Linked DNA regions of Macaca fascicularis. The protein of the gene in region 2 purifies or fractionates together with the protein of the main gene of each other region. This does not show direct contact. Links are inferred from orthologs where the notes say so. Each region holds a gene or a part of one and is shown on either strand. Other genes may lie near its edges.

What was found.
Region 1: the proteins of MECP2 (region 2) and TBL1XR1 purify together in Homo sapiens (co-immunoprecipitation; 3 studies listed by BioGRID and IntAct, with this or other methods). This does not show direct contact. The link is inferred for Macaca fascicularis from reciprocal best matches to the Homo sapiens genes MECP2 and TBL1XR1.

The regions. Positions count from the first base shown.
Region 1 is NC_088376.1:88,764,784-88,768,927, reverse strand, and holds part of TBL1XR1 (F-box-like/WD repeat-containing protein TBL1XR1), read left to right. Parts: coding exon 1-59; intron 60-942; coding exon 943-1,075; intron 1,076-1,419; coding exon 1,420-1,561; intron 1,562-4,037; coding exon 4,038-4,101; intron 4,102-4,144. UniProt on the Homo sapiens protein: F-box-like protein involved in the recruitment of the ubiquitin/19S proteasome complex to nuclear receptor-regulated transcription units. Plays an essential role in transcription activation mediated by nuclear receptors.
Region 2 is NC_088395.1:160,161,676-160,165,819, reverse strand, and holds part of MECP2 (methyl-CpG-binding protein 2), read left to right. Parts: intron 1-670; coding exon 671-781; intron 782-2,867; exon of another isoform or gene 2,868-2,965; coding exon of another isoform or gene 2,966-2,991; intron 2,992-4,144. UniProt on the Homo sapiens protein: Chromosomal protein that binds to methylated DNA. It can bind specifically to a single methyl-CpG pair. It is not influenced by sequences flanking the methyl-CpGs.

The sequences.
Region 1 (4,144 bases), on a different chromosome or scaffold from region 2:
TGCAAAAAATGGAGAAAACACAGCAAATGGGGAAGAGAATGGAGCACATACTATAGCAAGTGAGCTCAGACAAGAATTTTTTTTTTTTAATTACGTGGTTTATTTTTTAAACTTTTAATTCGGGGTACATGTGCAGATTTGTTAAATAGAGGAACTCATGTCACAGGGGTTTGTTGTACAGACTATTTCATCACCCAGGTACTAAGCCTAGTGCCCAATAGTTATTTTTTCTGATCCTCCTCTTCCACCCTCCATCCCCCAGGAAGGTCCCAGGAGATAAGAATTTTTAAAAATTTATTCTCAGAGGAAATATATTTGCTTTAACAGAATGTCCCATCTTCTATGCCGAAATAATTCCATCTGTTATTTGCACCAACTTGTTTTCTTAACTTGTATCACACAGATCAGATTTTTATTCCTGAAGCTCCAAAAAGCTAGATTTACTTTTATTTTCTTTTTAAAATATCTAGAAGCCCTTTTCCCATCATTAAATGAATTTTTGTATCTACATTTGATTTCTAAATGAAATTGTAATACTAGTTATCAACAAATACCATAGCGCTCTGACATTGAGATAAAAGGCAAGTCATGTTATATGAATGATATCAGCAACCCCTACTGGCAGAAACTCAGAATAGTACTGGTAGACATTATGTTTAGTTCAAACCATTTTATCGTTTTATCCATGTTTAGGTCTAATCATTTAAAGTCTGCATCCCACCCCCACCCCCATCCCTCTTAAAAAAAAAGTATGGTCAATACTTAATTAAAGGTACCAATTTATTTTCTATGTGACTAAGACTGTGTAGTCATGTTCAGCTTAACTTGATAATGTTAACCCTGTATGTGATAAAGGAAGGTATTTGCTAGTTAAGAATTCACCCATCCGCCATATTGTAATACTGCCTAACTGGAATTGCTTACTTGTTTTTCACGATGCAGATAATCATACTGATATGATGGAAGTGGATGGGGATGTTGAAATCCCTCCTAATAAAGCAGTTGTGTTGCGGGGCCATGAATCTGAAGTTTTCATCTGTGCCTGGAACCCTGTTAGTGATCTCCTAGCATCAGGGTGTGTTTCTCAAAGTGATACTAAAATGGCTTTTACAAATATCTTACTGAGCATTTTATAAACATATGCATTATTCAGGTTTTCTGTTGTTGCTTATTTGTGGCCATTTTGTCTCTGTAAATGTTTTATTCCTTCATGAAGTAATTGTAGAATTTTTAATTAAACTTACTGTTTCGAGAACGCTTGGGGGTCCCAATGTGTAGAATGGGAAAAATACTGGAAATGAAAATCTGTGATAGTTTAGTTTTTATTTGCCTTATTAATATTCAGATGTAAATATGTTGCCTTGATTCTGATAGTTGAGAATGTCATGAGGATTTAAAATACATTGCATACTTTTATAGGTCTGGAGACTCAACAGCAAGAATATGGAATCTTAGTGAGAACAGCACCAGTGGCTCTACACAGTTAGTACTTAGACATTGTATACGAGAAGGAGGGCAAGATGTTCCAAGCAACAAGGATGTCACATCTCTAGATTGGAATGTGAGTATCACTATATCCATGATGGATATAATTACTAGTATACCTAACCCTCAGAGCCTCAGACTCATGGCACGGTTTGTCTATTTGTTCAGAATTTGGGGTTTTATTAACTAGTAACAACAAACTGGGAGTCGTCACCTGCCAGCCCTCTCCTCCACTGTGGTGTTAAAGACACAAACTTGCCTTAGACCAGGGTACAATGTCCAGCTCTTTAGTGTATCCCGCAGCATCTCCTTGGTTAAATTGTTACTGTTTACTCTGTACTTCGTTTTCCTTAAATGTCAAGTAGATCTGTGAAAATGGTACCTAAATATTTGAGATAATAGGTGAAAATTCTTACCATAATAACAAACAACATACTAAATCCGTAACAACCGAGTTCTTAGTTGGGGGATAAAAGAATTCTATGTAGCAGAAAACATGTTCTTGTTTTTCTCTTTGTTCTGTGAACTGTTACAACTTTATTACCAATTTCCTTTTAGGGATCATTAGTCTAGATAATGTCTAAATTTTATTCCCACTGTAGGAATCTTCTAATTCTCTGATTCTATGTATGATTCAACATCTTTCAGGACAACTTGACTACTCTGACTTACAAAAAACTTTCACTTCATTGTTGATAAATTGTCATCGTTTAGTTGTAAATAATATCTCTTACCTCACCCTGCTAGCCCCCGCCACGCCCCCAAACCTCTTAGATATATTTCAGCATTGCAAAGAATATCTCACGATAGTAGTTCTTCCTCAGCAAATGAATGTTCTTTTCTCTTCTATTTAACAACTTTTGTGGGCTTTCTAAAGGATCTTCTAATTCTTTTCCCAAGGAATGAGATCTATCTTTAAAATCGTTATTCCCGCTAAAGTTCTCAGTTTCTGTGACATGTTTTTTCAGAAATCATAACTGGGTATTTTTAGCATTTTCTTCCAAAATTGCCAGCAGCATGTTTACTCTTCCCCTCCGTATGACAATTCTAAAAATTCCAAAGGGGTTTTGCACATTGTAGTATTATTTACTTGTAGGATCAAGATAGAATTATTTTCTTAATATAGGCCCTTATTGTATCTTAGTTCAGACATCTTATAGCTTTCTTATGCTACCTGGCCCACTGGTCATGTTAATTTAATGAAATTTACAGTTTACACTGAAAAGGATGGTTAATGAATGAATATTGGTTTGTTCAGCTTGGTAGTTCTGAACTGCATTTTATAGTTTTGAAAAGTGTGGGCTTTTTGAAAATGTGTTAATCACGGTAAGCTTGGAAAACATCATCCTCGATTAATGATTCTTTTTCATGGCTAAAGCAAGAGAGCCTGTGAGATTTCTCATCTTTAAAGTATTCTTTTCCTAGTTGAGCAGTTCATGAACTAAAACATTTAGGGACTGATAGTTTAGAGGAAACTTAACATTGTGTAGAATCTGGAAATAAGCTTTTACTGTTGACTTCAACATGGCTCCCCTTCTTCTTCAGATAGAGCCCTAAGGGATTGCCATGTCTTAGCAGAACTGAGTCTGCAGTTCCCAGAACCAGCATTTGTTTTTGTTTGTCACTTAGCCATACTCCTAAAATGGCTTGAGAGATGTGAAATAGGTGATCTTGTTTTGAATGCCCTTACCAAAACCCATCAAGAATATGTCAAGTAATGCAGGATTTCATTCTCCAGTAATGTTTAGTCATTCTAGCAATAGTCTGTTTACTATAATCTGTAACTTTTGCGTTTGCATAGAGTTAGTTAGATCTGTCCTGTTATTACACCATTCATCCAGGCAAGGCGCATAGCAAGGGAATATAAGTTGAGAGAAATTTATATGGACTTTTCCTCCGGTAAAGTAGGCAGTTATACTTACTTCATTAACTATGAAGTCAGCCTGTGCTCTTTTCTGGCTCTTTTGCTTGTGTTGCTCTTTTTATTGGCAAATATTTCATAGTGGGAAGGGATTAATAATAGAAAGGAACATTCAAATGTTTAAGAATCCGATCATTTGAAACAATGATATTGTTTGGATCATACACACACACTTTGTTTTAGACAGTAAAGGATTTAGAGGAATGGCCATATAAAACCTTCTAATCACATTTTAAAGTTTTCCTTTTTTTACTTCTAATAAATCATTCTAACATTATGAATTTGATGTTCGCCCCAATCCACCACCCTACCTTCATTCTTAGTTGTGTGAGTCTGTGAGACTACTTTGGGCACGCATGAGGCGGGATGATGTAGATCCTGGTCCAGAGCTATTACTGTCCGTTGTTGAGCTTTGGATATAAGGCCCCCGTACAACACTAGCTTCACAACAGTGAAAGGGTTTCATAGGCCTTTAGTGGCACTCACAAGTAGGCAAAACTGGCAAGTTTTGAAGCAGAGAATGTCTTCATTCTCTTCTGTACCTGGGATTTAAACATGAAATACTTCAACAACAATTAAATTATAAACCGTATCTAGATTATATAATTAAAGAAATGTTTTTCTCTGGCAGAGTGAAGGTACACTTCTAGCAACTGGTTCCTATGATGGGTTTGCCAGAATATGGACTAAAGATGGTAAATGAAGCATTTTCCTTTTTATTTTGTTGTTGATCTGAAG
Region 2 (4,144 bases):
TGCTGTTTAATACTTAGGTAGGTCTGGGGCAAGGCACAAACCACTGTGTATTCAAAGGGTTATGGTGCTTACATTCTGTGTGTATATGTTTGTAATTTCCAACCAGAGTCATTTCCCGTGCCTGCCCTGCCTCTGTGCAATCTCATCTAGTGGAGTAGGGAGGCAAGCTGTGGAGTTTGAAAAAAAAATAAACAAAAAAACTGGCTAGATGAGTTTAATAGGCTGTTACCCCCTCTGGAACATTCCTCCCATGTGGAGATGAAATGAGAAGTTCGTTTCTTTAACCTAAAATAAAGAACAACAGAGATAAAATTGTTAGTTCCTTATTGGAGCCTGGTTTCCACTGCTTTGGACTCTGCATGATAAATGACGTGTCCTAGAACCTGAAATATTTTATAAAGGGTAATATCTGCAGAAATCTTTTAATTAGCTAAAAGCAGTTTGTTCTCAAGCTGCCCGAGTTATCTTGGAGGAGGAGAGAATCACAGAAAATGTTTGATATTTCTAGTAACCAGTGTTTTCAGTGCATGGGGTAAAGCACACTCCTAGACTGGCCAGTCCCGAAGAGTGTGGCAGGACACCTGCTTGTTTTCCCTGCCCTCTACTATGGTGACATCCTTGCAGACCAGTCTTGCGTGGCTGGCAGACACAATCTCTTTTTCTTGGGTAGAGCATTATCACCGCTGCGATGGAAGGACCTTGTCCTCAGTGCCTCCATACCAGCCCTTTCCAGTGAAACTACTGCTGTCCGGGCAAGCCCTGTGCATGTGCATCATTCCGGGTAGGACAAGACATGAACAGGTCCCTCTTCTTTGGGCTTAAGTAGAAGTTGAGCTCTTCTGCTTTTATCTGTTTTCTTCTGCCTTTCTATTTCAAGAAACCTTCTCCTGTCAAAAGCTTGGTTCACATGCCATTGCTTAAATACTTCGATGGTATGTATGGTGTGTGGGATAACTGAGTGGGAGCCGGAATTGGGGGGTGGGCAGGGCATCCCCACCCCCACATCAAAGGGAGAATGACCATTTCGTTAGAGAATAAAAAGCCTGAGTCTTTATAACTTCTTCAAGCACACATATGCTGGGTCTGGTGGCGTGTGAATGTGTCCCCGCTGTGGTGTGTGGCTGTTTTGCAGTTCCTGTAGACACTGTAGTCTGGGCTCTCATTATTGCCTCTGAAGCTGACAGGACTAAACCTTAGTAAGGATGCACTTGTCTTCCTTGCCTAAGAGCTAGGGGTGTTTTATATATATATGAACTTTTTTCTTTATTAGATTTCACAAACTGCTCTCATTTTCTGGCTTCTTTCTTTCTTTTTTCTTTTCTTTCTTTCTTTTTTTTTTTTTTTTTTTTTTTTTGAGACAGTCTTGCTTTGTCGCCCAGGCTGGAGTGCAGTGGCACAATCTCAGCTCACTGCAACCTCTGCCTCCTGGATTCAAGCAGTTCTCTGCCTCAGCCTCCCAAGTAGCTGGGATTACGGGCACCCGTCACCACGTCTGGCTAATTTTTTTTTTGTTTGGTTTGGTTTTTTTTTTTTTTGGTCGAGACAGGGTTTCGCCATCTTGGCCAGGCTGGTCTTGAACTCCTGACCTTGTGATCCACCTGCCTCGGCCTCCCAAAGTGCAGGGATTACAGACGTGAGCCACCGCACCCAGCCTCTGTCTCTTTTCTTTTTGACATGAAATCTTAAGTTAATTATCTTAAACTTTAAGAACTAGAAGGATCCTTAGTCCAGCACCATCAGTTTGCAAACAAAAAAAAAACCTGTGTCCCTGAGAAGTTGTGACTTTTCCAGGGCCTCCTAGCCAGGATACCAGTTTGGTTTTTATTAGATAGCTAACCGAGTAATACTATTAACTTGACTTCTGGGGTTTCAAAGTATTCTATGACTTGACTGTTTAAGGGAATTATGAGGCCTCACTGAACCTCAAAAGATAATTTTAGATACCATCCTGTTAGCTATAGAGCAGCAAAAGAGCAGTAAAAGACTTGGTTGGTGTTGCCCTTCTTCCGGGTTTGATTACATGAGTAATTGTGTGGATGGTCTCTAAGTTGTATGCTCTGAGCTTTTGTTTTTAGCTTATAAAAGTGCTACTTTTGGGCCAGCATAGTATCAGAAATTAGGTAATTAATATGGGGCAGTTTAGGCTTTAACAAGGAAATGATGGTTATCTTAATGACAGAAATGGTACTGACAAAAGTCCTTTTTTGAACATGTGTTCAAAAGCAAAAGAGAAACTATCAAACTGATAACTCAGTTTGTTAAATAGTGAGATTGACTGATCTGAGAGGCTTAAAACTGATTGCCCTGAAATAGACTTGCATGTTTTGGATGATGGCTTTGGGTCTCCCAGAGCACTTGGTTTCCCATGGTGCTGATTTTTTCTCTCAGGATTAAAGCCCCTTTATGTGATGTTGTTACAGCAGCTCATTGCAACTTCATTCAGCTGCTTGCAAAAGAAGGGAGACTGCCTCTAGGTTCCATGTGTTCTTTCAGGGATGGTATTTTGATGTTGCATATTCTCTTGAATATGTATTCTTCCCTGAGAATTTCTGTGTGACGTGGTGGAAGAAATACTGGCCAGAAATCACCATTCATGGTATGCTTTTGTACTGTCGAAGTGTCCCCTAGAGGTGACAAGACTTGTGATAGTGTTGATTCTAACAAGCATGAGTCTTTCCTCTATTTTAGCACTGTGTGTTACTTACGTGCCAGTAATTTGCAGTTTATCCTTTGTTTCTAGCTAGGTAAGCTGGGAAATAGCATAGTACTTTGTCTGTGTGTTTATCTTCAAAATGTCCCAAATAGCCCTGGGAAAAAGGTCGTGCAGCTCAATGGGGGCTTTCAACTTACAATTTTCTTTGTTTTAGGCTCCATAAAAATACAGACTCACCAGTTCCTGCTTTGATGTGACATGTGACTCCCCAGAATACACCTTGCTTCTGTAGACCAGCTCCAACAGGATTCCATGGTAGCTGGGATGTTAGGGCTCAGGTAAGTAACCTTCCTTTTTTTTTTTTTAGTATATGTCCTGGTTTGGCCATCTGTTTTTTTTTTTTAAAAAAAAAAAAAAAAAAAGGAAAAAAGGAAAAAAATATACTACTCTTGGACAGTATAAAAGTACCCCAAAGACTAAAGACATAACTGTGCCAAACTGTGCCATATAATAAAAAAAAGTCACTTCCCTGAGCCCTGAAAGGTCAGTGTGGGTAGGGTTACCTGGTCGCTACAGCGAGATCTGGGGGCGGGCGTCAGATTAGAGCCGGAACTGGTGATCTGCAACTTCAGTTCACCTTGAAGCAGGTCAGCTGAGCTGAGAGCGCTTGCACTGAGCCCTTCTGCGCTGCTGCTGTTGCCTTAGCGGTCTTCAGCATGTGTTTACTTCGGTTTGGAGTAAATGCTTTAGTGGTCAGCGTTAGTGAGCAGTGGTAATGCATTTTCAGATATGGGAACTGGTATATGGTTGGTTCCCTAGAAGGACACCCTCCTGAAAGCTGTCTCAGAACACCGGGGGCCATGACTAATAAATATCATGTGCTTGCCACACTCCTCCCATGGTAACTAAAGAGAGTACCCAGATATACATCTGTTCTTGAGACTCTAGAGGAGGATGAGTAATTTGTAAAAAGCTGGGGGCCCAAGTCATTCTAGGTCTGACACTCAGGTGCTGTATCAGCTGCAGTTTGAACTAGTTGGCACCATTGTGTGGACTTTAGTTTTGTAAAAATGAATGGTTCCTTCAGGCTCAACATCTCAAGCTGTTTGTTGTTGTTGTTGTTTGTTTGTTTTTGTTTTTGTTTTTTGATTAGTGGTCACTCCACATTTGATGTTTTGACGTGTGGATTTCAGAACTTCTGTGTGGTAAAGCCGAATGTTCCAATTGAATTTTCCCTTTCTTTTCCCCCTAAGCAAAAATGTGGGTTTTCACATATACAGCCATTGTGATTCCAACTGAGACCCTAAGTCATACTTTGTTGTGTCTCTCTTGTGGTTTCTGACACCTCAGTGTGAAGCTGTTGTAGACATCCATAAGAAATAGCCTGCTTAGGAATTATGTGAGGGCAAGGTTTGGCTGAAGGAGAATAGAAGGTGTGGAAGGAAGGAAGAGCATCACACTCCTCAAGTCCCAAATTTGATTCTGCTCCTG